Linked DNA regions of Styela clava. The main gene of each other region encodes a partner of the protein of the gene in region 3 in a complex. Links are inferred from orthologs where the notes say so. Each region holds a gene or a part of one and is shown on either strand. Other genes may lie near its edges. The genes, in order: scaffold protein ILK-like, integrin alpha-V-like, basement membrane-specific heparan sulfate proteoglycan core protein-like and beta-parvin-like.

Region 1 (7,881 bases), on a different chromosome or scaffold from region 3:
TTTTGAAGAGCCTCTGGTGCCATCCAAGCGGGATTGTATAGTTTTCCTGGAGGTTGGAATGAAAATCCTGCATCACCCATGTTCACTTTGCATGTCATTCCTTCATCTATCATGATATGTTTGCTGTTGATCAACAAGCGGTCAATCATTGGTTCAAGTGAATGTAAAAATTGCATTCCAGACGCAATATCTATTGCAAAACGTAATGCAATCGATTGATCTACTGTTGTTGTTGATTCATGTAAGACATGGTACAGGGATCCATAACTCGCATATGGGCTGATAGTTGCCAGATTCTTGCTGTTAACAATCCCCATTACTGGCAGAACGTTGGGATTCGAAAAAATTCGTAAACGTAGATATTCTTCATGGAAAGCCCTTGATATTCTTGATGTTATATTTTTGACTGCAAGAATTTTTGCTAATATTTCTGTCTGTCCCCATCGTCCTTTCCATGTTTCTCCAGAATGTGATGATGCAATTTTACCTTTTAGATTTAATTGTCGCAAATCGACATTTTCATGGTTCATAGTTCCATTTTTAGCCCTTGTGCGGGTTGTTCCTTTCCATACATTCTCCGAAAAGGGAATTTTCGTTTTCAAATCCTGGCCTTTTGAACGAGCAAGCTCTGCTAGTCTTCGAGCTAATTCTGGCCTGGCTCTAGCAAGCGGTGTTTCTCCCTTTTTGTTACACATGCTCACAAGAGCACCACAAGACACTAGTTCATCTGCAGAAGCTGGGTGGTTGTTAAAACAGGCATAATGTAAAGGTGTGTTACCATGTTCATTCAAGGCATTCACCTCAGCCTTTTCTCGAATAAGTTTGTGGATAACATCAAGACGTCCCATTTGAGCAGCATTGTGGAGGGGCGTGTCATCACCCATGTTTGCAGAATTTACTCTTGCCCCTCTGGACAATAGCATTTCTACAATGGTATTATGGCCATATCTGGATGCCCAATGCAATGGACTAAATAAATGATCATCTCCTTGATTTAAATCATTTTCAGTGTTATCCAGCCAAACTTTGACTGCCATGAGGTTACCATCACGACATGCCGAAAATATATCATTCATTTTTGTTTTGAAATAAATTAAACTTTTTTGCTGCAATTAGTTCAATGATAATTTTTATTAGGTTATATCATTCTAATGAAAAGATGAAATTACATGATGGAATAAGTTGCTTGGAAGAAAAGCACAATCACAAATTCTGAGAAATTAGTAAAAATGACTTATCAATATGCTATACGGATTAACATCATATCCAGAGAAAACATTGCAAATTACTGTGGCAAGACAGTAAGAGAATAACAACACTGCATAAACAGGTGATACTGTATGAGTAAACAATCAAAAATCAACTCAGTTAACGCAGTTTCAATCTGCCTGTATATCAGATATTCGCACAACGTTCAGTGATTTGGGAGAGTACGAGTTAGCAAAATAACCCCACTGACAAATACTACTGGGCTGTGAATTCCAGCTTAGAATTATTCTTATAAACATTCAGCATTTGAATTAATCTTCAATCTTTTTGTTCATAATTACACAGACATAAAGTAGACCTCAAAATTCGAAAAAGGGTTATCGCTATATACATCAGTACAGATATAGCCTACCGCAGTGTCTAATGCTTGATATGAGAACAAGAGAGAGTTTTCATATAAACAACATCAATGATAAGAATCTGTTACTTAGTTAAATTACTGAATTGTAGGGATAAAGGAAGAAATAAGTGGATAAAAACTTCAGAGGCAGAGAAAGTTGAAATTATTGCTGTAATGAGGCCATGTGATTGTGAACCCAATCCATACCAACACACATTCAGCATCAAAAAGAATATTGTTATAATACTGTAATAGAACAAGTTGAGTTTGTTTTTTCCAACAAGTACAGAAGTGAAAAAATCAGTCTTACACAAATTACAGAATTAAGAGATAAAACTGATTCTGTGATGTTTAATTCATACCAGTCTGCCAGTAGACTCCAGTCTGTCAGTAATTAGGCCAGGGTGGTCCAAGGTTGTCGACCTCGCGGGCCACAATATTGCTAAAAACATGTAAACAGTGCAATACAAAACAAACACATTTATTGTCAAATACATTGCTCATTAATTGACATTTTTTTAGGCTAAAGCATGCAAAAACCACAAGAAAACTCACAAAAATCTTACTATATCTACATTTAGTGGGAGATTTCAAACTTTTCATAACGCAGAAAGTGTCATAAGGAAAACTGCCGTATTAAATTGTCACCGACACAACTTGCGGACATATCAAGCAAGCATTGTGGTATTTTCCCTCCCACACCCAGTCAAAAATATGTTTGAATTGGTCAGCTTTATTTTTAAACTCATGTTTAGGCTACAAAATAACTTACAAGTAACTGCAGATTGATTGGTTACCAAATTTTACCAAATTTGAGATACAGGAGGGTAGGCTACTAAATTTTCTGACATATAGGCAGCATTTTTAGTAATACTGTTTAGGTTGGTTACAAAAAAAACTGGCGGGAATTGTATTGTTCAGCCATAACCTGGGCTAATAGATTCCTCATTCGATTTTCAGTTTTCTATGATGCCTATTTTGTTAGCATATATTCCCGACCAAAAAGATGAAAAGCCAGAAAAGACGAAACAACACCAAATGCGATTTTCCGTTTACTCTCGCACAAATGCAGAATTGCGATGCGGGCCACATGTGGCCCGGGGGGGGGGGGGGGGGGGCCTGGATTTGGACCACCCCGTCTCAGGCCATTTTGCAGTTAAACGGGTTTTTCTGTTGTATGGAATAAATATCCAATACAGGCATGAAATACAACAACGTATGTACCGGTACCGCTTCACGTATTTAAATACGGTAGTCTACTATGCCGATGGTACCAAACCTGTGAACAGTTACCGTACCGGTACCGTAGACTGTTCTCCACTTCTTGTCTGCTCGTGGTTATTTTCCCCATATGAACTTCAGCACTGTAATACCTGAAATGGTGAATAACAATATGCAAGCCTGAAATAACATCATGGCTTGTTATATCTATCTTTCAGTATTTCCTATTAGGTACCGGTATAGGCTAGACGTCTATTACCGGTACCAAGTTTTCAACGAAAAACGCGCATTCCCAAAGTAGAAACTCAGTTACACCCAAATTTGGCAATGGCGCCGCACTGCCTTTTAGTGGATGGATATAGAATTTCTCATTCCCATAAGCCATAAGCCGACTTCCACCTAGGGTTGGGATTCCGGAACCAGTTTTTTAAATCCCGGTATCGGGATTTTTTTGGATTAAGTAAAAGATTGAAACAACTTGCATGACAATAAAATCACGTATTTATTTCATGTAATTGTGGATCATATATTAATATTCTAGTTCCAAGTATGCATAAATACTTATAAATGATAGTAGCCCATTTGTTAATTAATTTAATAACCTTTATATATTGTGAAAAAGTGATTAACTGCAATAATAATTGCATATTTAATTGTTCATATTCAACTGTGGGTCATATATTAACTACTATTCTATTTCAAAAGTATGTATTAATACTTAAGAATGTTGGTAGCCACTTTTAATTCAATAACCTTTTTATATCGTGAACTAATTAAGGTGTCAAACGAGAGTATCGGTCGGAGACCAAAGACTTATCGATCAAAACTGTGGTTTCGATTCATGACTCTATAGTGACACCGTGTGTCCAAACACCAATTAATTAATAACTCCCTAATTATACGACATAACTCTACCAAAATCAATAGCCATCTGGTCCTTGAAATGATGAACGCACAAGCAAAATTGGATTGGGTGGAGATTAAACCCCGCTTTCTTGAGATATCGCTTGCATCTAACAGACAGACAAACAGACAAAGATCGATAAACAAGATCGACAAGTAATGATATTTTTTACATCATGCACTCGGTCTATTACTGAATCTGTGATAATATTATTTTTCGTCCTTGGTATTCATTTTTGATCCCGGTCTGTGTCCAATAACAAAAAATATGCTTTTCGTGAAAATTTTTCCATTGGACATGTCCGGCTTCAACCAACACATGACCTCTCTAAATCCTAAATTGCCCTTAGTAACTTCCATAATACCATTAAATTGCCGACTCGTTTCCTTTCTCCTCGTATTTATTTTTTATATATTTATATTTAATCTCATTTGTATCCACCTATGATGAACTTATATATAGCACACACACAAGGGTCGGGAGCCTAGATGACTTTAATCGGTCTTGCACATCGACCCGCACAAAGCAATAATCAATTACTGTGGAATATTTTCGTTATTGTATTATGTTTATATTAGCACACCTATCATAAAACACGACTATTTTCTACCCATAAAGAGTGCGATAGTCGAACACGAATAAATGGATTAATAGTTACCGATATTAGAACTGTTTTTTTTACATTGTAAACGAGAGCTTCTTCGAAGCACCTCTCATTATTGTAAATGTTGCGCGGCCGCACGGGTAATACGTGGTCTTCAAACCGACGCTGATCACGCGCTTCGGTTTTACTCGCACTTCCACGTTACGCTTACGCCCTTATTATTCTCACATTAATTAATTCTCACTTTATCAAACAACTTAATTCATTTTTGTTACAATTCAATATGTTTCTCCCATTGCCAAAATCATTCAATAGTGTTATTGTCGGCGGTTGCGAGAGAAATGAAAGTGGAAACAAACTGTATTTCATTACAACAATTACCGTAATTATTATCCATAAAAAACACTAAATAGGTTTAAAGTAGTTATAAACAATTTTCACAGCTGGACGTATCTTTTCACGTTATGAATTTCGTGCAAGGCCCGAGCATAATTTGGCAAAGATCATAGCATTTACTATGTCGAAACGCTTCGAGCTTTCCGACCGCCGAAACTTTCCGAAAATGATAACCGTTTTGTGTTCGAGATATGGAATAATCGTCGATTCCACCACGCTTTCGTGAAGTAATGCAGTTTACTAAATATAAGGTTTTATTAAATTTCATTGCATCAGTGTTTGGACTACCACGCGTTTCGCCAGATTACTGACGTGATTACAGATCGCAAGGGTGGTCAAAAATCACAATAGTATATTTTCATCGAATCTAATCATTTTAACGAATTGTGGTTGAATTCGGGATTTTATTCCGATTTTGAAATTTTGGGTCGGCTTTGATCTTTCTTGTCATCGTTCATAAATTACCTGTCCCAATTTTAAGCTAAAAACCCTATCATTTCTGACGCCGGAATGCAGATATTCATAAAGACGATATAGTTGACCTTTTTTATTTTACTTTGTGTGGCTGTCCTATTTTCGTATTAAATAGTGAATAAAAACTCTGCAAAGTCAATGCGTGAATCCTGAATGCTAATTTGAGTTCAAATTATGATTAAATACGTCGGCAATAATGACAATTCTACTAGTCAAATAATAATTCCTAATAAATTTCGCACAATAATTCCACTTCCACTCAAACTGTAAGCGTGGATGGCTTTTTTTTAAATAAGTATTTAAATAAAATGGTATAACCTACCATTTGCGAGAATATCTATATGTGGATAACAAAGCCTTAAAATTCCGGGATTTTTAGGAAATAAATGCGGGATCGGGATTGAAAAAAAACAGTCCAAATCCCGGGGTCCCAACCCTACTCCCCCCCTCACTGGTTGGAAAAGGTAAACTACTGACTGACTAGGCTATCTGAACTTTTCCCCTGATCTACTGCGGTATTTTGTTTTAGATGAATAAACTGATTGATCATCAATTATGTGAAATTAAATGTGGCTATGAATCATATTTTCACGTTATCATGCCAGACTTTCCTATTAGAAAAAGAAGTTCGATTATTCTTATTATTTCTTTATTTAAATTAAATTTTAAATAGGTTTCATTTATTGAAAGAGAAATGATACTTATGTATTGTGTTCTGGTATAGCCTACAAGTGACTTGACAAATCAACAAATTCTGCCTCCGTATCTCTCTCTATTACTGACAGATAACGCATCGAGCTGGGGCTTAAGAATACGACGTCATTCACTCCGATGATTATCCTGTGTAGGTAAAAGGGTTTGAAACCCATAGCCTATGGATGATTATGTTCGAAAGGATCAATCCACGAGATAAATATGAAAATCATCATAACAAATGATACATATTATTTTACTGTGCTAACAATGCGAAGAAAGAAGCCTGTATATTTTGAAAAAAGCAATGCTCAAATGCATGGCCACGGAAACCAAAATGAAGTGATAAGGGTATGCAATTTGTCACAGTGAACAATCGGTGCCGTAACCTTCACGACTTCGCCTTGGTTATATGTACGATTTGACCAGAGCACCAAAACCGGCACAAAGTGCGCAATTTTTAATTTGATGACGTCATTGAACACAGTAATGAATATTTTCCAGCATCGACCTGTTAGTATGGTTATAAACATTGGCTCGAAAATTTCAAATCAATGGCTACTGCAGTTTATGGGAAAAGCGATTTTTGCGCAACATGAAGAAACACTAACAAGATGAACAACAATAACATAACAACAAAACGATTGGATTTCGTGTTTCAACCATGAGAATCGAACTTGAAACAAACTATAACGAAAATTATATATACTTCCACAAAAAATAGCCAAGACTCGTCTCCCAATTATCCGGAGCATGGACCGGAATATGTATCTGGAACTTAAATATTAGCATCAAATATTTAGCGTACATGTTTGGTTCTGGCTTTTGATATAATACAGGTGTCCAAAAAGTTTCGCCCGATTGTAGGATAGGATTTACATATTTATCCCGGGGGAGAGGAAAGCCGATAAGACGGCTTATCCATATGGCGAACAACAGCCTCTCGTCCGGTTACCATTCCAAGTCGGGTATGGGATTAGTTTTTACTGTATTGTTTGTTTTCGGAAGCATGGACTTGGTGGTGGAGGAAGCGAGGAGTCCAGCAATCCTCTCGCACATAACCATCCCTGCGTGGGATTCGAACCTGCGAACCCACGCAGAGTAATTAGAGGTGCGGTGGCGAGCGTATTCCTAACGCTTAGCCCGTTGAGCCACACCTGTTGTAAAGTCTTTATTATTGTAAAGTCTTTATTATCAAATATATATTTTTTTATTTTAAAAAAGATTTATAGTCGACCGGTTTCTTATTGGATGTTATAGATGTTGAATGTTGTAGTCCTAATTAGTCATACAAAAAAAATTATTCAAATTTGCAATTGGTAATGCTATGAAATCGGGCAAAACTTTTTGGACACCCTGTATATCAATCTTGATGAATGGTTCTCAGAATTTCGTGAACAGTCGAAATAACTCCAGTAATTTCGTTTTCACTTCAGTGACGGGCACCTTTTGTGGCCAGACAGATAGATAATTTATTTCCAAACTGCGCCACGACACAAAAATGACAATACAAGTCATAAAAAGAAAGATAAAGTCACACATGAAAGACCTTTTTCTAGGTATTCTGTTATGTTTGCTGCGAATCACGCAGTAAAATAAATTATCTTGATGATTTTCGGATAAAAATCTCAAAAAAAAAAAGAGTTATATATTGAATAAATTTCTGGGCCTCGAAATTGACGCAAAAACAGACAGTATGTAAGTAGATAGTTTCTTAAGAGTGAAAAGCACAGTTTCTAATCTAAATTGGTCGCTTCACGTTTGTTCTATTTTTCGCGCAGCATCACGTAAATGTCACGAACGCTGTATTGCCAAATCACTACCTATAACTGTATTACGATATTTTATTTCCAAATGTGAAGTGAAGGATCAATCGATATTGAAACGTTGTTTTGCTTATATCAGAGGTAGATACTGTACTCATATTATTGTCTCGTTTTATTCTTTCAATATTGCATTATCGTATTCAAACATTGTGTC
Region 2 (7,827 bases), on a different chromosome or scaffold from region 3:
CTGAAAATAGAAAATTAATGCTTTTAATATTATAATATCTATATATATACTGAACAGAGGGAAAGACTTTGGTCCGAGATAAGATGAATGCACATGCAAAATCTGGATTAGAATCAATCTCGCTTTCGTAAGATATCGCGTGCATCTAACAGACATACAGGCAGACAAATACCTATCAACATACTTACCGATTAAAATCGATAAGTAATAATCCGAAAGGGGCGCGCAAGACTGCAAGGTTGACCGAGCCCTAAAGCAGATTCTTATCAGGACAAGGCACAGGCAAACATATTTACAATATTAAAACACTCCTTTTAAGTCAGGAGAAAAAAAATAATCATCATCGACTGCTTATAGATGGTTACCTAATTCATTACAACAATTATTCAAACATCGATATAAAACAGTGTGGAATTACGGTCCTGGTAAAAGAAAGTCAATATCTGGCGAAATTTATTTTATTTTAATGAATATTTGATAACCAATAATCGGTATGGTGAAGCAATCATGTGTGTGTGTATTTTGGCACAAAATGCAAACTAGGACTTTTTGACATTAAATAAACTTTTCATAATTTATCACAATTTTTTACATTATATTTTTTCAAGCTCAACTCATATGTAATCAGGTATAACGATATACATACCGGTATATAAAACGATTCTACAATGAGCAAAATGCAATTTTTGATTAAATGCGTTTAAAAAATTGTGGCTATACTTGCCATGATTTTGCAACCCAATGTTGGACATAGGTACAAAATCTAAGACAAGCTTGTTTTAACCCGCACAGTTTGCCATAGTTCTCTTTGTTTTGTGTTTTACTGGACAAGAAGTCGAGCTCATGGATTGTTCGATTCGCACTGTTTGCTGAAGTGTATTTTCATTTTTGTGCATTTAAGATTTATTGCCTGATTATATATCATGTATGTTCATTTTATTATGTTCTTCAACTGTTTTTGGTGGATGGGTCCAAACTTGTATGTTAAACTTTGCTTGCTATATTATGCCCGTCCTCCAGGTCTTCAGCATTTTGTTGGCCTACTTGTTTAGTTTTATGCCAGAGTGACCAAAATGAAATTAATTGATTGATCAAAGTTGGTGGTTCAGAATATTGAAAATTATGAAACAAAGTGTAGCATAATTATCTTTTCCATCATAGACATTCCTGTCAGTCTAGATGTCAGGCTATTACATCAACTTTCAACCCGAATAACCCACAAACTACATTGAATAAGTTGTGGTCTAGCCTTGCCAACTTGTATTAGGCAGAAACAAAGCTAATTAGTCTAATTAATTCCCGTGAGATGTGATCAGATGTTATCAATGTCTATGGGGAATAACTAATAGCATACTCATGTCTGTTGTATGTCCTGTATTGTCTGTGCCTTAACATGTTCCGAGATATTATTTTTAGAAGAGCACATAGTATGTGATGGGTAATGTTTAACAGCTATACATTAATCTATTCAAGCTTGGACAAAATATAAGTTTCTTCTTCAACTTTTCATTCTGAAAATTTAGAGACATATATCTCTACAAGCTTTCCAGAGACAATGTGATAATTTGGGAGAGAAGAAGAAAATTTGGATACATGTAACACTCACAAGCTTTCTAGATAATGAGACAACTTTTTTTATTATTCATATAAGTTTGATCAAAGTAATGTCAATAACTAATGGGTGGTTCACATAACTGCTGGTCGGTTGAGGCTTCCTCTACCATCAAATCCATGCATCTGAAAACAAATACCTGGCTAACTAATCCCATACCCGACATGGACTGGTAACCGGACGAGAGGCCGTGGTTCGCCAAATGATTGAGCCGGCATATCGGCTCTTCTTTCCCTTTGCAATTTTATAAAAAGTTGAGACACCCTATACTTCTTTGAACATTCCTAATTTCCTATTGGAATCACATGATTTCCAAACCACTAATATTTGCAATATGCAGTATTTACTATCTCTTGCTGTTTTCCTGATGGTATGGATGTTTCCCCGACCCTTGACCCCGAAATATTTTTTCCTATATAGTACTAAATAAAAAAAAAAATTAACCAGAGAAACATCCATTGAATTGAACTGCTTCAGGTTTCGTGTCAATCAGTATTTACTAGTCTGTAATGCAGGGGTGTGCAACCTTCAATACTGGAGGGCCACATACAAATAACTGGGCCACACCTTTATTTAACATAGGCTCTCTAGTAATTGCAGGCACAAAAAATATGTTGTTGATATTATGATATGTTGTTCGTTTCGCACAAGCTAGCTGTTAGGGCATTGTGACATCATAGGCATAGATAATAAATTTGGTTCCGATATAGGCTTTGCAACTTGGGAATTACTCGCACTCACCAGATTGAACTGAATTAAAAACTCGTTTCAAGGGCCGCACATCATTTAAAATTGGCACTTCTCCGCAGGCCGCACTATTTTTTCTTGTGGCCTGCAACCACAGTTTGCACACCCCTGGCATAATGTATTACTATTAATCTATATACTGTAGTTTCAATTTCTCTCGAAACTTTCTTGATCACCCGCGACTTTCCTCAGAAATGAGTCTTCATTACTTCTCTGAGTGTGTGCTTGTAGCTCTGGGCATTTCAGTAGTTGTCCATAACTTTGCTGAGAGATGAATCTTCCTCACTTCTGGGTGAGTGTTCGTGACCTTGCTCTGAGCAAAATATTATTAAAATATTCACTTACCAAGATTCGCCTTCACTTGAGTACATTCCTACTGTGTATCCAAAATATGATTTCTTTTCCGGTATCGTAACAAGAGTAGGAAATTTAACATCCAAATTAAATCCTTCCACATAATTGTGAGTCATAAATAAAAGGCAATGAAGCGTAAAAATAGTCAATAATATATTTGAAGTCCTTATTGAAAACCGTGGCATGGATTTTGAAACCATAATTTGTCTATTTTCAATTGATTCAGTAGAGGAATGCCCATGCCCTGGCATGTCTCTGTGTTGGCATTTTGTCATCTGCTTCTGGTCTTCTGTCATCAGAATATCCATTCCAATTGTGATTTCAGTATGATGTCACAATGCACCAAAGGAAGACAAAGGTTATTAACGGTCAGATAAAATTAAATTATGGATACAGTGTCTGCTAAATGTAGACAATAAACAGATAATAGAATGACATGAATTTCCTTTATAATATCTATTTATAAATGCAGAAACTCATTTAAATTCTAATCTCACAGAAACACAATTCCATGACCATAAAAGGAAAGTAAAAGAGGTGACATTACTTCCTTGAATAATGAATGGTTATGTATAGATTAAAAGAATTTCAAATAGGAACTTTAATAATATATTCTCCTCTGCTCATAAATACCTATACCACACAAGGTCGAGAGACTGCAATAGACTTGCCCACAGATGTATAATATTCTCATTTATTGAAAAACATGAGTAACACCTTCTGGGATAGAATGCTACATTGATCCATAATTTTATTTACTTATGCTTTGCAGTCATATGTGACTGGCAACTTAATATTGCTTATATATGGCACGGATATATTACTAACAAAACAGAATATATCCCAAGCATGGCAGTATATGACTAAAACCATCTGTAACAGATTAACTACACATAACGCTGCATAAATACATGGAAAACTACTAACTTGTGCAAACATCGTAACTGGTATTATCGTAACTGGTATTTTGTTTGGTGGTTCCTGACTTGAAAATTAAATAGCACCAAATGGAGGGTTCATGCACTACTGAAATGAACAACTATAACTTAAATGTCTTGCAACAATAACTGACCACATTTGCCAGTTAGATCAAAAGTCAACTGGTGTATATAAATGAGGAAATGCGCCTAGTTTTGTTTAATTCGTGCAAGATTGCTCCAACTTGTTCCTAACGAAAAATAGTATTGACTGAAGAGGTGCAGGAAACCACTGGTATGCTAGGAAATATAGATAGGTTAATTTTTCAATAAAGTTGTCAGTGGATAAAGGTTGTCACAATATTTCAAACTGATCAAGTTAACAATGTCTTGAGAACATCTACGAGGCAAAACATTGTAGAGGGAATTTTATAAAGTACATCTGTGTGGACGAAATAACTCATAGAATGAAAGTTTTGTTGGTAAAGATCTATTGCCTGTGTTTGTCTTGGGCCATATTTTTCAAATGACCTATGGTGACTCTAATTGTCTGTATTAAATGGACAGCTATAACTTAAATGTCTTGCAACTATAACTTAACTGAACACAATTTGCCGGCTAGATCAACAGTCAACTGATGTATATAAATGAGGAAATGCGCCTTGTTTTGATATAATGATTTCAATCATAAACTTGCTATTAAACACCACTTCCTGCCTCTGCCGTGCAGGTGGAGTTTGACTGAAACATTCTGACAATATATAGTAGACCAGCCATTCCTAACCCCCTTTGACACATTCCTCTCTTGGCCTTTTTAAGTTTCAAATTCCTCCCTTGGTTGTTTAATCTTTCAGGAACAATTGCTCGCGATATGTGCAACTTGACTTTTTAGTACATTTTGAATAGGCCATAATGTATGAATATAATATGCAATAAAGAATACCAAATAATTACGAAATATTAGCAAGACATGCAAATACAAAGAAAAACTATTCATATTACCCAAAAGCATTCTAATTCGGTCGGGAAACGTTGAATTAGACCAACTTTCGTTAAGACAAATGTAGTATTTTAGGCTGTTACAAACTCATTGAAATATAGCTGAAAACAGGACCAACAAAATGTAAAGATCTGTTTTAATTCAACAATATTGTAAACGTTGATAGTAGTAAAAATCTGCATCGCAATGTATTATCGCTTCAATTCGCAGAAATCTGAAATTACGTTCAGCAGTAAGAACTGCGTGGGCGGGCAAGCCAGGTCGAATGCCGCATCACAACGCGCAAAACTCGAGAAAAATGCCGCCATTATGCCTGTGCACACAACGTTCGCGGCGTTACTAGAACGCTTTACAAAGTGCATTGAGATTGAAATGAAGCGAAACTCTGACTCGACCACGGCACGAAATCTGGTCGATTTTATCTTATCTAGACATATTTAATTTGCGTTGAACATAATATGGTCTTAAATGTCATGTAAATAGTTTCCCCCAAGGACGCTTTTAAGCTCATTGTAGATGAGAGGTTGGAAATATAAAGTTGGAAATATGGTCCGAATCGCCGATCAATTGGTACTACCGAAATATGTGAACCAAGATGACGGACACCGAAACCTAGTAAGCGTACCAGGTTAGGGTTAGGCCATAATTTCTGGTACAAATACTACGGGAGTCATATTGCTAGTCCCCGAAGTCGTAAAAGAACTAAAATAATTACTACGTTCCGGTGTCCGCCACCAAATAATTGGCCTGCTCTCATATAGAAGTATATTTGAGTGCTATTTGGACACCAGATTTGATTTTAAGGAATTACAATCACATTTACGGGTATAGCTATTGTGAACCGCATGCTGTTTATCACGCCCTTATTAATCATGTCGTTTATCATCTGCTGAGCGCGTAGAAGTGTAAATAGCTAACTATGGCAATTTGGAATGTTGAATATTTACCCATCGACTGTTTACTTCCCGTCCTATGGGTAGACGAAACAGATAACCTTTCTTTGATAGCCAGTTAACATATTTTTGTGGTTGGAATATATTTTCTTACGATAACGCCCCAACGTGTAAAACACGATACTGACACCTGCGCGGCTAATGTGCTTTAGAAAATATTTGAATCTTTCCTGTACAATAGTCCAACTAATTAATGAATATATGTAATGTTTTGCAAACCACACGAAAAGCTGTCTTGTAGACATTGAGCCATTTTCAATTCAATTTGTAATGAATATGCCAGTGGTTCTCAAAACGGTGGGGCGTAGGCAATTTTTTGAGGGGCGTGAAGCTCATTAAAAATAAAAATATTTGTTAAATTTGATCTTGCTCGCCTTATTTTGGATATTTACATTTCTTTATTTTGGATATTAACGTTCGATCCACATCCACATTTTCAACGTGTTTTCCGAATAAAACAAACTTTCGCCTTACTATCTGTTAGTGTAGCTTATGTCAGCTACTTTTTGAGATGAGACGCGAAACTTGACGAATTCTGATAATGGGGCTCGGCTTAAAAAGTTCAAGAACCACTGAAATATGCGATTGTGCCTAACTCGAACCTTCCTTCATCCTAATTTGCTATTTTACCTGGTACGGGCTTCATGATACAATACGACTGACAACTTACCACAAATTAGTAGCGTCTAACAGTTTGGTATTCTACACTTTAATAAACATGCGGCGCTTTGTGCATTTGATTATTTTAATCTTCCCATTCCCGATATTGCCACAAAAGGGTTACCGTACATTTGAACCCACGTACATTTGAACCCATGTGTATATCCGCGGAAATCCCGAAATACGATTTGGATACAAAATATTTTGGAAATCCTGAAATACGAAAACCCTTTATATTACTCTTTCACATACTTTTTGCCACAACTTTTTTTTTTCGCCTTTACTACGACTAGTTGGCACAATAGCAGAATAATGAGAATATCATCTGTATTTTTTCTTAATATCACAATACCAAAACCCTTTACCAAACTCTCACATATACATTTTGCCGCCACATTACGCCTCGCGTTATTTTACTAACATTACCTACTGAGATAAAAACGAGAATATCGGTCGGAGACTTATCGAAAACTAATTAATAACTCGCTAATTATAAAAAAAATTATTAATCAATTAATAACTTAATAATTCTGGTCCGAGATTTGGTGAATGCACATGCAAAATTTGGAGCAGATTCAACCACGCCTTCGTGAGATATCGCGTGCATCTACCAGACAAACAGACAAATACCTATCAGCATACTTACCGATCTAAAGATCGATAAGTAATAACGACAATCAACATAACGAACGAAAACGATAGGTCCACTTCTTGTCCAATAAGAATAGTTTGGCAATAACCTAACGTAACTTATTCTATGAGTGCTGGGCGCAATAACACAACATATAAACACATCTGTATTTTTATCGCAATACGATAACCTTTTACTAAATTCTCGCAGATTGTAGCACCATTGTAGCATGAACACACGAGACATACGTACAATTAATTGCCTCAAGATTAAGAGAAAATGATAGCGCGATAAACTAGCCTAACTTAGTGGGGCACAATAACATAATAGAATTTGTATTTTTACGTAAATATTGCAATACGAAAACCCTTATCTGAACTCTCTTTGCTGTCATTGCAGCGCATATGTAAGGCATTTTCAAAACACATGAGACAAACGTTCAATTAATTGTCTTCTACTGAGATTTGAAAATGATAGCGCGATAACCTAACGAATGTGGCGGGTCAATACCAAAATAGCGCCTGTATTTTTACTTAAATATCGCCATACGGAAACCCTTTACTAAATTATTTCACAGATACTCCTTTCGCCGCCATTGTAGCGCGCATGTAGAATATTTTCAAAACACACAAGACTTACGTTCAATTCATTGCCTACTAAGATTAAGAGAGAAGGACAGCGCGATAACCTAGTCTAACTATAGTGGGGCACAATACCAAAATAGCATCTTTGTTTTCACCAAATATCACAATACGAAAACCTTCAACCAAACTCTTATAGCTACTCCGTTTGCCGCCATTGTATCGCGAATGTAAAAAAAATTCAAAACACATGAGACTTCAACAAGCAAAGAGTCCGAATCCCTCGAGGCTATTTTGAAAACTAGTAGTTATTACTTCTTATTTTCCACAATGCGATTCGTAAGCGAAGAAGTTAGGGAATCGTAACTTTTC
Region 3 (7,259 bases):
AACGGCAACATATCTGACCAGCCTCCGAACCTCCAAAATAAACATGCAAACCTGCAAGCCAAATATTGAGTTTCTGACAAAAAGTTTTGATTCTTTAATCTTTATCATGTTTAATTATAATGAATGTACTCATTTCATCATGTATTTTATATATCTACATCGAATGCTCGTATTTTAGTTATCTTTTGTGGAGTACTGCATGATATTTTGTTTCGGAGTTTTTTGAATTTGGGGATGGTCATTGCTCTGCTGAGACTCTTATCAGCAGCGAGTGGAAGCTGGTGATAATTGTTCAACAAATGTTCTCAATACATAATTATATTAGAACGAATGAATCACTAATTTTAAGCAATATTTCGAAGCAAAACTTAGTGTTCTGTTGGTAACGCGTTGGCATTGCAATCAACTTTTTTTAATAAAATAAAATTTCACCTGTATTTATTGGTACTTGAAAAAGAGTTTTTCATTTTTATTTATTAACATATGCAGCAGAAAATGCAACCTCTTGTGTTTCTGTATTACGGTGTATTACAAAATCTGATTCAAGAATCATGATTAAATGAATAAATATATAAAATTTTATTGAATATAAAAGTAGCGGATGGTTTGCATCAATAAATCGACAGAGTTGCAAGATGTAAATGTAAGCATTCCTATGCGCAACGTTGCATGGATTAGACTCAGATAAGCATGTTGATAAGGGATATAAGCCTATTAGTTACAGCAAGATGGGTTCAAAAAGTTAGTATATTTTAAACTGTGAACTCATGCAGGCTAATTAAAGAATTTCTGCTTCGTGAAATACGCCCAAAGTGAGCTGTGAATGGAAGAGGCATACACGAACTGATCATTCGAAAAATGTCTTTTGTCGACTTGTGTGGTCAAATATATCCGGTAGTGCAAGCGTTCCTAGCATCCTACATTGATACCGTTTCCAATTTAGACTCATCGTTTTAATGGCTGTAATGAACAATTTGAAAGCGCAATTTTGCGGGAATATTCGCACGAAATGTGACATGGTTATTTTATATTGTAAGTAAACCACATTGGTTTCGCACATTCTTTGTACATAAGCAGATCAATAAAAATAATCAAAATTAGAGCCTAGAAAGGAAAAGTACTAGATTATATATCATACAATAATAGCATGCTTCTGCTTCAGCTCTTCAATGACCTACATATAAAATCCCACAGGACCCGGCATTTAAACGCGCAAATACAGTTGCTGATGGTGATTTAAAACCAGAGGCGTTGTGAGATGGCATTATAATTATCACTAACTGCATCATGCAATATTGTATTTTTATATTGCAATTCCATATTTTGCATTACGTAGATACAAAATATCTGAAACTAACAGTGGATAATTAATTTCATAGTTGGTCAATTTAAATTACCTTGCGCCATCCATAACGACGCATGAAACCAAGTAGACAAACTATGAAATATTTGAATAGAACGGAGCGTAATCACGAAAAGAGATCTAAATAACGATTTTGTTCAAATCAAAACATAACTGAATCCTATTTCCCAACACACCCAATGGTGCCATACTGTCGGTGATCATTTTTTGTAAATCCAATCGAAAGCGCAAGCTGATTTTCACATTTATGGAGAACGTTACAGAATGATTTCAGTATACCCTGTGTGATGGTTTTCATTTGCCAAGTGTGAGTTAGTGGGTGGCCGATCAAATTATTTTTTGTTCGGCAGTTCCGGTTCATGTCCTGGTCGGTTTGCATTGTTACATATGCTAGAGCAAGACTATAGAAATGAAATTCTAACATTTTCTATTTCAATCATCAAATTGTCACCGTATTTGTGTTATGCGAAGCGGGAGTCGGGTTTGAAGTATATAATCGAAATTATTTGCCGTATCGACAGGGAAGTCAAAGATATACTCCTGAAAGAAAACTCCTTCCACGAATCTAAAACCGTGAGAAAATGCCATTACGTCCATTTGTTGTGAAAATTGCATTTACCTCCTGGAATTTATTACTGCAATCGCTAATGATTTAGAAACTAAGATTGAAAATTTTAAAGAATCCACCGACAATAGAATAGATGGCTCTTTTACAAGACAAACCGTATAAATTAAATTAAAAAATACCAATCATATTTCAACATATGTGACTATTTTGATACAACTTTGATGCAGATAGGCGTTCAAAAATAGAAAAAATCATAAAACACAAGAGCCAAATATTTACATGACGTTTGTTTTTTACTTAAGACTTCAAGCGTTACCGAAACACGAATCTCAATCCCGCACAAAGTTCGGGTGGTCGGTCACTCGCACAAAATATAACCCCGTGACCGATCATAGGTTACATTTTATAACTGTTTGAACAACAGCTTTGATCATATACACACATTAAACAAGGTCGTCGTCCGAGACTGAAGACTTTATGTCCAGGGTCATGTCATGTATGTTGTTATATCATTTGTTTGTTTATATACGTAATGCTAGAAATCGTCAAAGTTTAAAAATAAAACATACGAGCGAAGAAATTCTTGGTTGCACTGTTCAATGAACGGACACATAGGTAAAGCTGAAATCCAACATGATTTGATTTGTAATCCTTTATAGACACAATACATCAGAGGCCATTGCCCATAGAGTACGAGATCCAAAGGCACTTGAAATCGGCTAACATTTGTTATCGCAAATGCAATTTAGGAACCTGAATCCAAATGTGTTGAAAGGGTTCTTATATGGGAAGTCAAAGTCCAGTCTTTTGTAATAGAGATTGCAGCCGATTAAATTAAATTACTCAGAACAGTCTACTCACCAAATTCAAGTCTTGTGTGGCGAGGCATGTGGCAATTGCCAATGTGGCAAAAACGCCAAGCCATAACATATCCATTTCGGATAAATCCTCTTGGTAATTGCTTCTTAGATTTCTCTTATATCCTTATTGTTGATTATAAAAAGGTCTATCGTAAGCAGATTTCTCTTAATCACAAAACATACAAGCGAACTTTATATTTTGAGTCCCTCTTGGCGATACTCCTAACTTAATTACGTTATCTGGTTATTTAAAACTAAATATATAATATAAAATTCAAGCTGACAAAATTGAGTCTTCGACTAGCGTTTATATCGTGTTTTACTCCCGAGAACGCCCGGAGAATTATCTTCCATTCGCCGGGATTTATGGTAGTGTGCTTGCTGCGATGTAACCAACACAGGACTGTGTAAATCAAATTAAAGATAACATCGTTAAGCGATCTTAATTAAGCCTTAACCGTTGAGGAACTCGCCAATTAATTTCGGAAAATGTCTGGGAATTAGTGCCGATGGATTTATAAAACACTACGCTACTTTTAGCCTCAAACTACGAAACCTATCCCAACTGAAAATTCACTAAAGCAGAACTCTAGCTTATTTGTAGTGAAATGAATAGCTTGGAAGAAGAATATTTTTGTACGGCGTTACAACGGGAATTGTACTTTGCAACTTGGTCGACTATGCTAAAGTTACAGCTGATGAGATAATAGCGAAGGCTATTTTGGAGCGCTGACTCATACTCTACGAATTTAGTCTGTCGTGTTGCACAAGAGCTACATTTCTACTGAACTGGCTTCGAGAATTGCCACAAAAGCACCATGTTGGCGACCGTATTACTAGCTTTATACAATAGAGGTCAACAACGTACTAATCCTGCTTTAACAATGTCGTAAACTGCCACCGTCGACGACAACTCACGAAGTGTGACCAAATATACGGTGCCAAGCATTTTCTTCGTCGCGTCGCCGTTTTTTCTTCTTCGAGGCGCGGCTACGTTAACCTGGTTTATTTAGTCGCGTTTGCCCCGTCGTTTATATTTGCAATGTAAACGTCCGATGAGAACGTACTTTATCGTCCGCCGGTAACAGATCAGACGGTACGTTTCCGTTCCGCAACTCCGTCGCCGCCGTCTTATGAATAGGCTGAGATTTAGCTCCCTGATGGGCGACGGCGTGTACTGGGTCAATATAAATCCCATTTCGTCCGACCTTGAAATATCTAGTATATTGCGATTATACTACTGTTATTTAAAGAAGAATTTATGAGAAATTCTATACTTTTCCGGGATGAACCACAAATAAGTAAGAGTTTTCAAACAAAATTTGAAAATATTTGAATGTGATAACTGTCAAAATTGCTTCGTTAATTATTTTTAAAAAAAAATGTCCATTCGTAGAGTCTTTACCCACATCTGGACAAAGATAGTTCAAGACTGATTATTCTTAAATTAGCTGGTAAATATCAGAGGTAGTTACCAATTCTCCACGCAGATCAAAATACAAATAATTGATTCTTTTCAGGCGATAAGCTATATTCATTCACCACATTATTCGAATGCAATAATTTTCATGAAATTAACCAAAAACGAGATTTTACAAACCATGACACTTGGTATTTTTGCTAGCTTAATCAGTACATCGAGTTTGATAGAAAATCCACATAATTTGGCACTGATGTACGATTGAGGCAGCCAATTGTCGGTAAAAATGAATGGAAAGTTTCAGTATATATATATATATATATATATATATACTTGAAGCAGATCTATAAGGAAGCGTAAAGTGACCTAAAACGAAATATAGTTAGGACAATCGCTTGTATTACTGCTTTAGTTATAACAATTGTTGTAGAGTCTAATGCAATTATTTGTGTAAAAGTTCGTCTCAAATGTATCTGAATCTGAACTTTGAAACCGAAATTAATCATCGCAGTATCCCATCATATCTTGCTCGCCTATTTTATGCTCAGTTGTCTCGAATGTAAGTGTATCTTTGCTCTAAATGAATCATCATAGTTTACCATCATATATAAAACCTTGTGTGTATAAGATGATATGGCTAACAAGCGGGTCTTTCTATGACATTTGGCTGACGTTAGGCTGTCGTATTGAAGCTCTGAGGATAAAAAATAAAATCGAAAATGTTTAATTATTTCAACTTCAATATTGTACACCAGTGGTTCCCAAACTTCTTTGTACTGTGACGCCCTCCGAAAAATATACTTATGTTGCGACTCCCCATGAAAACGTCATATGACCTTTCAATAAAAGAACTTTTTTGCAATGAGTTTCATTTAAACCAGGGGTGGCCAACCTATGGCGCATGCGCCAAACGTGGCGCATTGCATGATTAGAGGTGGCGCATTGCATCTTTAACCCTTTTCATGCCAAAATTGTTAATTGCACTTGGCTTCTCCACGCCAAGCCGTTTTTTGCGATTTACATGGTGACTTTTGATTGTACCTAAAATCTATTCTCCTTACTCCACGCCGCCCACTTACGGCTTGTTGGAATTAGAAACAACAGGCGATTATCGACGTTAGCTTTTGGACGGACTTTATGACATTCATTCTAGACTTTCAGCAAAAGTTAGTAAAATTTACTATTTTTTCCCTACTGAAGTAAAAAGTTCAGAACTTCTGGAAAAATAGAAAATCGTCATTTATCAGCTTGAAACATAGATTTTCCATTGCCCAGACTCCCCAAATATCTCCCAATAACCATTGAACAACCAGTTGAATTGCCCAAGCCAAAAAAATTTATTATAAATCAACCCACAACATGCTGAAAATGACCCCTAAATACCACCTTTTTCATCCAAACTTCAAATGACCGTTGTCAACAAAAGCGAAGCGTAAAATCGCTTGCTGTGACGCAAGTACTAATCTCGAAGAAGCCTGGAGTAAAATCACGCGACGCTAGGCCAAAAAGCTTCTTAATCGTATCTTTTTCTCTTCGTCGTTAAAAACAGATTTATTGCGTAATGCTCATAAGACAGAATGCGTTTTTCTCCTACTTTCAAAAAGGCTGTAGTTTTTACTTGAAGCATGGCGTCACAATGGTTCCTTGTTTCGTAATCAATCGTAATCTGTTTATCGTAAATTGCTCGAATTTTTGCGTTTGCGTTTTATTATACTTCCTTGCTTAATTTCTATTCATGTGAAGTTGTAAAAACTACATATATGTGTGTATATATGTATGTGTATTATAAATTAATATAATTTCAACAAGAAGTGGACATTAGGCGTGGGAATACAAGAGAATGAAGAGATTTACGGCGCATCTGAAACATTATGTTTAAAACGTGGCGCATGGTATGTGAAAGGTTGACCACCCCTGATTTAAACGGACAAGAAAAACTTGACGAAAGTCAGTAAAATCTCATTTAATGTGCATGTACTTGCGTCTTTTTACAATTGTTATATGTTATTGAACCTTGGGGTGAATTGTGACAGCTGCACACATTTTTCCAAAATTTACTCAAAATCGATATTTTTTCTTTATTACGCCATGGTAGAAAAGCTTGTTTCACATAAATACGAAGAAGGGGTGAGAGTACGCAACCAAGGAAAGATAATCTTTATCCAAAAAATTCCAAAAACTCGGTAAATTTTAGGAAATATAATTATTTTTTATATCGATTCCGTTTAACAAAATGGCAACGAAAAGCCGGAATGTGTTGTTTGTAGCAAGGATTTGGCCAGTGAAACCATGTTACCTAACAAAAACGAAGGAGCCTTTTTACTCGGAACTTCAACGATACTAAGTACAAGTAGCTTCCATCATACTTGCGAAAATTCTCGACTTTTCTCGTGCAGTATCATTTTTACGCTTGTACATTTATTTCTGCAGTGCAATTTTATAATTAGACTTTTGCTACGCACCGCAAAACAGGTATAATTCCGCAAGAGAAGAAAGTTTTACGACCGCCGAGCAAAATTGTAACGACGCACTTTGAAAACCACGGTTGTACACGAACCTATGTCAGAAGTAGTATCGTTCGAAATGATATCACAGCGGGATCTTTCGCTACTGGATCGTGTTATCGTGACTTATTTGCATTCTCACGCGATCGGAGTTTATTTTTTATCTTTGCATGTGTATGATACTGAGCGTACATGAAATACAAACATGAATATTTGCCAGTTAGTACTCCAGCTGAGTCAATCATCAATATTTTAGGTTTTCCAAACAGAAGACTTTAACTAGGCCTTCGACACTAAATTGTGATGCACAACTACAAATTATAAATCTTACGAAATCAAACTAATAGAAATATATATTTTGTAACCCGAAAATGATTCATTGGATTACTAAAGATGCCGAGTTCTTTCTCACAACACAAATACGAACAATCTAGCTACGCTTGCTGCTTTATGGCAATATTGGGAACGGAAATACTGTAATCGGAAGGTCTGCACTCAACATACTTAATATATATAGATGATTACAAATTTACCCCTATCCTAA
Region 4 (7,796 bases), on a different chromosome or scaffold from region 3:
AGATTCCTTATTTCAAAAATGATTATGGGATAAAAATAAGATTTGATAAATGTAAGTAATGATCACATGAAAGGGTATTTATCTGCAGAAGTTGGAATTGCATAATTTACAATTAAGGACTTGATTTATCAAGCTAGAATTAAAATATATCACAGCCAAATACACAAATAATAATAGAATAATGATACATAAGCAGCATATAAAAACAACATACTTTAATATGAACATCTTCTGGCAATCGTATCGGTGCTTTATAATGGGCAGCAAGTGCTACTAGTAAATGAAGTATTGCAATAAGATTCTTTGAATGGATACCTGAAAAAGGTGAAAAGTCATAAACACAGCAGTAATGATTTCAGAAAAACACTGAATTAAAAAAATTGGCGCTCGAGAAGTATGTATGCCAATATGGAGGTCACCAATTTTGTTCGCCTATTTTACATCAAGTTATGTGAAGGGACTGAAACCTATGGGCAGGGGGATATTTACTCGGCTAACACAGACATTCCTCGAACTCGTAATAGCACTAAAATAAGGAAAATCGAAATAAAATTATGGCCCAACCTCAACCTGGCACACATACTTCGGGAGTACCAAAAAATTTTAGGTAAAATATGTCTCGAAAGAGCTTGTCTATAGTCATGGAAATGGCATGGTGTGGTTTTGAATCCTTACAAGATAATCAAGTGTGTAGTGGGCTAGTAACTGGATGAGATGTCATAATTAACAATATAATTAAGCTGTCTTATAGGCTTCACTCTTTCCCTTTAAAATATGAAAATCCTATCCTATTGAGATAAGTCAAAAAAAACTGATGACACAGAATGTTCCGATCATAATCATTTTCAGAAAGCAGTCTTGATAATTATAATTAACAAAAATGCGAGCTAAAATTTAAATTTTATTTTCTTGGATTATGCTTGTGTGTGTCCTAAAAAAAATTACATTGTAAAATACTTACTATCAACACTCCATTTAGTTTCATTCCAGCTTTGTATTTGTAGTTGTTGACTGACTTTATCTAGAACTGCCCTGAGTTTATCTTTTTGTCCTTGAGCTGTTTGCGTAACTTCCGGAACCTAAATGTTTCGTAGTACAATATCATATTTTTGTTGTATAGGTATACAGAAACAATGTCATGTCTAAATTTGAATTTATCTTGGAAAGGTATTAAAAATTATATTACAGAAAAACTCCCCGTTGTAATTGACTAGCTATCTCATTAAAACAGTGAGTAATTTTTACACTCAATATGAGCAAGATTGAGATAGGTTTGGCAGGAGTAAAGAAATAGAACGATAATAGAAAAAAGTCAAGCCAACCTGTAACTTGACATCACCAAGTTTTTCTAAAAGTTTCTGCAAAACTTGTCCATCAAACAAATCTTCTTGTATATTTTTAACAATAATTCTTTGTTCGACAAGAACATCATCAATCCATTCCATGAGAACCTAAAACAGAAGCAATCAGAGTAAGGCAGTGGTTTCCAACCTTTTATGGCTCATGGCTTTCCTGTTTATTAAATCAGTGATATTTATAGTGTTATCTTGATTGGTAGATTTCAAATCCCAATATGTTCAAACAATTTATACTCAGCAAAGTGAAAACACTCTGCGAAATAACCTTATCGAGCAATGAAACTAGGAAGAACGCGAGGTTTTCTTGTAAAGTGAAAAGTAAAATGAGTTTTGCGTCTAGCATTGTGGCCTTCTCTGACTGCGTTGTGGCCCCCTTGGAGGAGAACAGATGGAATAGGGTTTGTTCAAACAGATGAAACAGCCGGAAATACTACCAGACTAGACCTACTGAAATTTTTTTTATCTATATAATTTACCTATTAGCAAACATGAGCTGTCAAGATTAATAATTAGGTAATGTCCTTTGACAGGGTTTTCATCAACCATTATAATCAATATATTAACAGTAGTATATTAAACAAAAAATTAAATAAGAATAATGATATATTATGTAGTTTTTTTAATATTCACACATAAAGTGAGTGAGTAATGTAACGAATCCAGAGTTGTCAATCACACGCACATACTATTAGGACTAAATTAAACAAAATTAAATAATTTTTTTAAAGTATTTATTAAGAAATTTATGTGTTCTGTTTTTAGGTCACCCTGTACAACTCTAATGAAATTCAATTCACACCCGCTCAAGATCCACAACATCTTTAGCTTCTCTTGATTTTTGATCGATCATAGATCTCTCTTCTCCTTCTTCTAAATGGAAACTCGAAGGATCAATCTCTTGTGTGACTGTACCTCCATCAATTGCATCTCGAGCTTCTATGTCCAATGCATTTACTGCAAGAGAAAATCAAAAGTTAGAGTACACACTCACATTAAAATAGTTTCGAAAAAAGGAAGGAGTAAAAATTCTAACGATTTTAACAAAAGTAATTTAAGATACCACAATTATAACAATGTTTTTACTCGCCAAAGGCCAAGTTGACAAAGTTATGATTAAAAATATACTTTTGATGACAGTTGATAATAAGATTTGTATGATCAAAATATGGCCACATAAAAATTACAATTTGTGGCTTTATATTTGATTCAATATCAACTACAAATCAACCAATTACTTGGTGACACTATTCTGTAATTGGGTAATTTGTGGCATTAGTACATTGAAAATTTGAAATAGAAATAGCAACACAGGTCTTTATAATTTAACAAAAATTAATTTATATTTGATTCGATAACAAAGAACCTAGAAATCTACAATAGAAAAGGGGAGCGGCAACACCAATCTTTATATGATCTGACAAAGAATTGCCAATGTATGATAAAGTTCCATCCAATATCTGAATATACCAGAATCTCGTTGCTTTTTCTTGCGTCCAAGTGTTAATGAAAAAAATCCTTCAGATTTTTCCGGTTCCCTTCTTGCGGGAGATTTCTGGTATGACATTTTGTATATCCGTTGTTTAATTTCAAATTACAATGCTTCTAATTCAACTGAATTCATAAGTTTCAGAGTTTGGTGATGTGTTCATCAATTGTTATCAATTAATTCATTCAAATATTGAAATAATGAGGTACAATAATTTCACTATATCCAGATATATGTATACTGGTATATGCTGCTACCGCTGTTTCAGAATTAACAACATCTCCTTTCTGCCACATTCTGACATTGACAGAAACTGTTGAATGTTCGCGGATACCGTACGGTACCGGTACCGTACCTCAGCAGTTCAAACTGCGGAACTGTGTTCAGTTCAGTTACCGTATGCTACAACGGCACAATGGATTTTTGTGCGAATTCCATGTTAGATTATCATTTGAAAAACTGAACACTCTAGTCTATTTGTTATTAATATAATATAGTTCAACGTCCCGGTACCTCAAAAATCTAAATGATCTGTCGGGGAAGCCAAACGCACATATTATCCTGAAAACGCAATTACTGAATTAAGAATGAGCCGTATACGGCGGCAATACCTATGACGTCACTGGCACACCCACCGGTGCTGCCTCCCACCAAAACAAATTTGTATAAGTCTAATCACCGAAACCAAATATTCTTACAAATAAGTACCGGTACCGGTATCCAATCGGTTGTCTCATTCTACCGATGTCTGGCGTAGAGTTGGATTATCCGGATAGCGGTTATCCGGATAACCGATTAACCGAGAGGTATTTTACTATCTGATATCCGGATAATATTGTGACGGTTAACCGGATAATAGAGGAATATAAATAATGTATATGCGCATTAGTAATTTTTATATTTTTTGTTGAGTGGCGTCTTGACATCTCCCAGACTCCAGAGCATATAATAACACCTTCTATTCACACTACTCTGCCCATATTTAGCCACCAATTAGGTTGAAAAGCATTGAATGTGTGGGTGTGGGTTTGTGGCTTTTTGGTCAGGTGTGGCTTTTAGTTTATTGCGTGTATTGAAGGAACGCATTTCATGCTGGAACAAGCCATGACTTAATTCCCAATACTTCGTAATCTATGTGATCTGTGTAGCATTTCTAAATTTTTGGTTTACGAATGCATGTAATGTGCATGTTTTCAACTTCTTAAATTTTTCTATTGCGCAAAATAACCAATTTGTGGCTGATTCGAGCATTTTAAAATGTCTTTCCATAATAACTCTGTTCAACGTATCTCTCGATTGCGTCGACATACGTTGAAATTAAAGCACTTCTACTATAAAATGCCACCGCATTCTGCATATATGAAAATACGTAGTAAGCTGCACAAATAATATCAGTTTTTATTCGTATTTTTGCGATCTTGCAAATTTGAGCTATTAACAATAGAACTGTGTGGTGGTTTTTGATCAATTCGCCGTAAAAATCTTGCGAAATCGGATCTTTAAAATTAGCAGTAACTATCCGGTCAACCGGATAGTTAAAATATGGAATACCCGGATATATCCGTTATCCGGATAGTAAAAATTATAGGTATCCGAACTAACCCTAGTCTGGCGGATAGGGTAGTTTATCGCGCTATCCGCCAGAAATGTTCATGCATTGCAGCATTGGGGGCCCATTCAAATATGCGTAAGGATAACTCACACACAGACCGACCCTTCAGACGTCTTCAAAATGGAAAACCAATAGCGATGAACGTACGATCCGACCTTCGATTTGTAGAATCAACAGGCAGGATAAATATTCAATTCCGCCGAACTGATTGAGAGGACATCGACAGTTTGTCGTTTGAGGTTTGTTGGTTTAACTGGCATGAACAAACTACGGCCCGCGGGCCAAATCCGGCCAGTTGAGTAATTCAATCTGGACTGCCTAATGCTGCCATACCTAAACTAAAACCAAATTTTGATGTTTCAGCTAAAAATAACTAGGAATTTGGTAAATTTGCGATTCAATTTAGTTTCGGCACGAGGCCTATTGCTTTCCACGTCTGCTCTTGTAACACTGTGAATATTGTTCATATAATGTAACTTTTACGTCACACTTACATGGCCCGCCAATGTGGATGGGCAAATTTTATGGCCCTGGGTTCAAAAACCTTGCCCACCCGTAAACAGTGAGCTTGCTTTTGATTGCCAAAATTCATTAGATCTTGACTGATAACTCGACGCGAGGCAGAGGAGCACCATAGCCTATATGATTTGCAGTGTTTTCTCTTTTTCTCATCCTCCAGCTATTTTGAAGCCGGTACAATCCGGTCCGTGTACAGGACTCTCATATCGCCATGGATAACTTTTATTTCATTTTTTATTTTAACCTGATTTTTGTCATCTTGTATTTTATAACAGTGCACATCGTCCAGCAATTCATCATTGTGGATGGCTAAAATCTCCCAAATCATTCCACGGCACTTTTGCTTTAGTTGAAGTGGCGAATCTTGTGGTCTGATGGGTCTTTGACATGATCTCTAGAGGCCGGTTATTTGTCAAAACCATTCATGTTCAAGAAAACTAGAAAACCATTGGTTCAGTAGTTTTCTCGAACATGAGCACGAACAACTACAGGTTAGCAAAGCATTTCAATGGTCCACTTCAAACTCACTTAAGTCTGCTGTACCATGTCACAAATATTTGTGGTAATGCCATAACCATTGAAAGTAAAAGAAATGAGTGTGTTGAATTGATAGGCCTAGGAATAAACATGACAAATAATCGATAAAAATACTTACATTCATCTTTATTTTCCCAATTCGACCAAGCCATGTGCGCCATTGTGAATATCTTTTCTTTAGCTTTCTTCAATACGGTATCACAAAAAACACGTCTAGAAGTTGTATTGAACAAAACTAGCTAATTGACACAAAATTTGATATAAATAAGCTACTAAAAATTAATTATCAACGGATTTAATCTGCAATGAATAATTCAAAGAACATTCATTTCAATAAGTAATGCTTGTTTACTAGTCAAGTTCCAATGGAACGATTGTCACAAAATATAAATTAGGTTCGGAATATATTCTTATTCATTTACAAAAATTCCTCTTTCACTTCATAAACTCAACCAAACCAATCCTGACGTTTAAAAGAAATTCATTTGTTTGAAAAAGCACCGAAATCAATGAAAAATCACTGAAGAGTTTCAATAAAAAAAATCGTGGAATCATTGACAAATCCCTTTCTACAAAGGCTTTCGCCGTACATGTGGAATAGAATGCTCGCTTGACTTTTTAGTTTAAATCTAATACAAACAATATTCTAAGTACTCGCTTTCTTAGCCATAAAACTATTTTTCTCCCTATGTTTGTTAGTTTTACATATCCTGTGTATTTCTCGTTCATACTCTGACAATGTGGTGATAGCTATTGATCCTGCCTAATCTAAAAAGTATTCGCAATTCGAAAATACCTATACACACCATTGGGCTAAATATATTATAAGAATGCTATGATGTAAGTTTATGTGTCGACAACATCCATACTTAAACAGATCTTCGTGTGAATATTGTTATATGTATTGTGTTCTCATACGCCGACGTCTGTGCAATCAACGTCACAAAACTACAATATATTCCCAAAACGTGCATTTTATGCACTTAAAATACGTGATCAATATTTTATTCTGGGATAGAGTTTTATCAGTCTTTGTGAATTTATGTGAAGTCTGAAAGTCGATAAATTTAGCAAAATCGATTAACAAATAATTGATCAAAAAACTTCAACGTGCTTGAGAAAATTCACATTTGAAATTTTAATCTAACTAAAATATTGGGATGAAAATATGTTTGAAAATATCATAAAATAATAATCATCTTATATTGCTGTCGTTAGAGTACAATGTCGATAATGGTACACTAAAAAGAATGAACGACTTGTAGTAAGAACAAGGGCAATATCTATCCACGGTACTTTATATTTCCATCTTTCGTTATCACCTTCTAAGGCGCCATAGAAATAGAACGGGGAAATTATATATCCATTAAATTCGTCCCGTTTCGGATTTATTTTGATCACGAATTAAGACACATTACAACAATCCAAGTTTTCTCAGAAATGCGGATCAATTGCTTTGATTGTATGAGTTAATTTGTCTATATATAAAAAAAAGTCGATAGATAAATGAATGCCAATTTTATACAATAATTAACATAGTCCACTACATATTGCGATTTTTTAAAAATAACTAATATAAGATCCCGATTCATGAAAACTTTGCAACAACAAATCACAAAAAATGAAATTTTCTGTCATTTTAACCATAAGTGCCCCTTGTCTTACTCTCTCCATTCAAACTTCTCTCCATTCAAAAGCATAATTTACTTGTTCTATCACGTTTTAGGGAGTATAGAGTTCCAAATAAATACTCTGTCGAAAGAAAGCAGTTTAGGTACATTCGGTTCTTAAATACCATATTAGTTTTACATGGCAATATATTGCTGAAATCATTATCATTTGCCACCACTATAGTTCACTTTTTTACGGAACCTAAGAAAAGTATCGATTATATAGTTGTTTGCTACATTTGAACATTTCTCACCTGCCTGATCTTCCTTCATTATCTGAACACATTAAATTGACATTGAAACTCAAGCTTATTTCATGAAAGGCACAAAGTAATTACGTTTTTCGTTTTACATCAATATAATGAATAGAATTTTGTGAGTTTTATTCGTTTCAATATTTACATCGATCACTCTCTATATGTATTTTTCGCTTGAATGTGTAATGAGACAATTTGACACATTAAACTATAATATTAATTATGGTACTGCAGCAAAATTGATCAAGTTCAAAACTATATAATAGATCAATTTTGTCAATAACAGTTTACTTATAGATTACTGAATGACCTAATACGGGTTGCTATATAACGAAATAGCAAGCAAACTATTGCGCA

Evidence for each region.
Region 1: basement membrane-specific heparan sulfate proteoglycan core protein-like (region 3) and scaffold protein ILK-like share a complex: the UniProt entries of both Caenorhabditis elegans proteins name them as parts of the integrin containing attachment complex. The link is inferred for Styela clava from reciprocal best matches to the Caenorhabditis elegans genes unc-52 and pat-4.
Region 2: basement membrane-specific heparan sulfate proteoglycan core protein-like (region 3) and integrin alpha-V-like share a complex: the UniProt entries of both Caenorhabditis elegans proteins name them as parts of the integrin containing attachment complex. The link is inferred for Styela clava from reciprocal best matches to the Caenorhabditis elegans genes unc-52 and pat-2.
Region 4: basement membrane-specific heparan sulfate proteoglycan core protein-like (region 3) and beta-parvin-like share a complex: the UniProt entries of both Caenorhabditis elegans proteins name them as parts of the integrin containing attachment complex. The link is inferred for Styela clava from reciprocal best matches to the Caenorhabditis elegans genes unc-52 and pat-6.

What each region holds. Positions count from the first base shown.
Region 1 is NC_135261.1:8,305,188-8,313,068, forward strand, and holds the start of scaffold protein ILK-like, read right to left. Parts: upstream 3,122-7,881; 5' UTR 1,077-3,121; coding exon 1-1,076. UniProt on the Caenorhabditis elegans protein: Probable pseudokinase that acts as an adapter protein. Component of an integrin containing attachment complex, which is required for muscle development and maintenance.
Region 2 is NC_135263.1:3,185,860-3,193,686, reverse strand, and holds the start of integrin alpha-V-like, read right to left. Parts: upstream 3,116-7,827; 5' UTR 3,022-3,115; coding exon 2,705-3,021; intron 1-2,704. UniProt on the Caenorhabditis elegans protein: Required for muscle development probably through the regulation of the actin-myosin cytoskeleton. Component of an integrin containing attachment complex, which is required for muscle maintenance.
Region 3 is NC_135251.1:19,814,777-19,822,035, reverse strand, and holds the start of basement membrane-specific heparan sulfate proteoglycan core protein-like, read right to left. Parts: upstream 3,060-7,259; 5' UTR 2,868-3,059; coding exon 2,793-2,867; intron 1-2,792. UniProt on the Caenorhabditis elegans protein: Component of an integrin containing attachment complex, which is required for muscle development and maintenance. Probable structural role in myofilament assembly and/or attachment of the myofilament lattice to the cell membrane.
Region 4 is NC_135255.1:14,758,046-14,765,841, forward strand, and holds the start of beta-parvin-like, read right to left. Parts: upstream 3,070-7,796; 5' UTR 2,923-3,069; coding exon 2,826-2,922; intron 2,313-2,825; coding exon 2,158-2,312; intron 1,452-2,157; coding exon 1,323-1,451; intron 1,080-1,322; coding exon 962-1,079; intron 316-961; coding exon 215-315; intron 1-214. UniProt on the Caenorhabditis elegans protein: Involved in the regulation of cell adhesion and cytoskeleton organization. Component of an integrin containing attachment complex, which is required for muscle development and maintenance.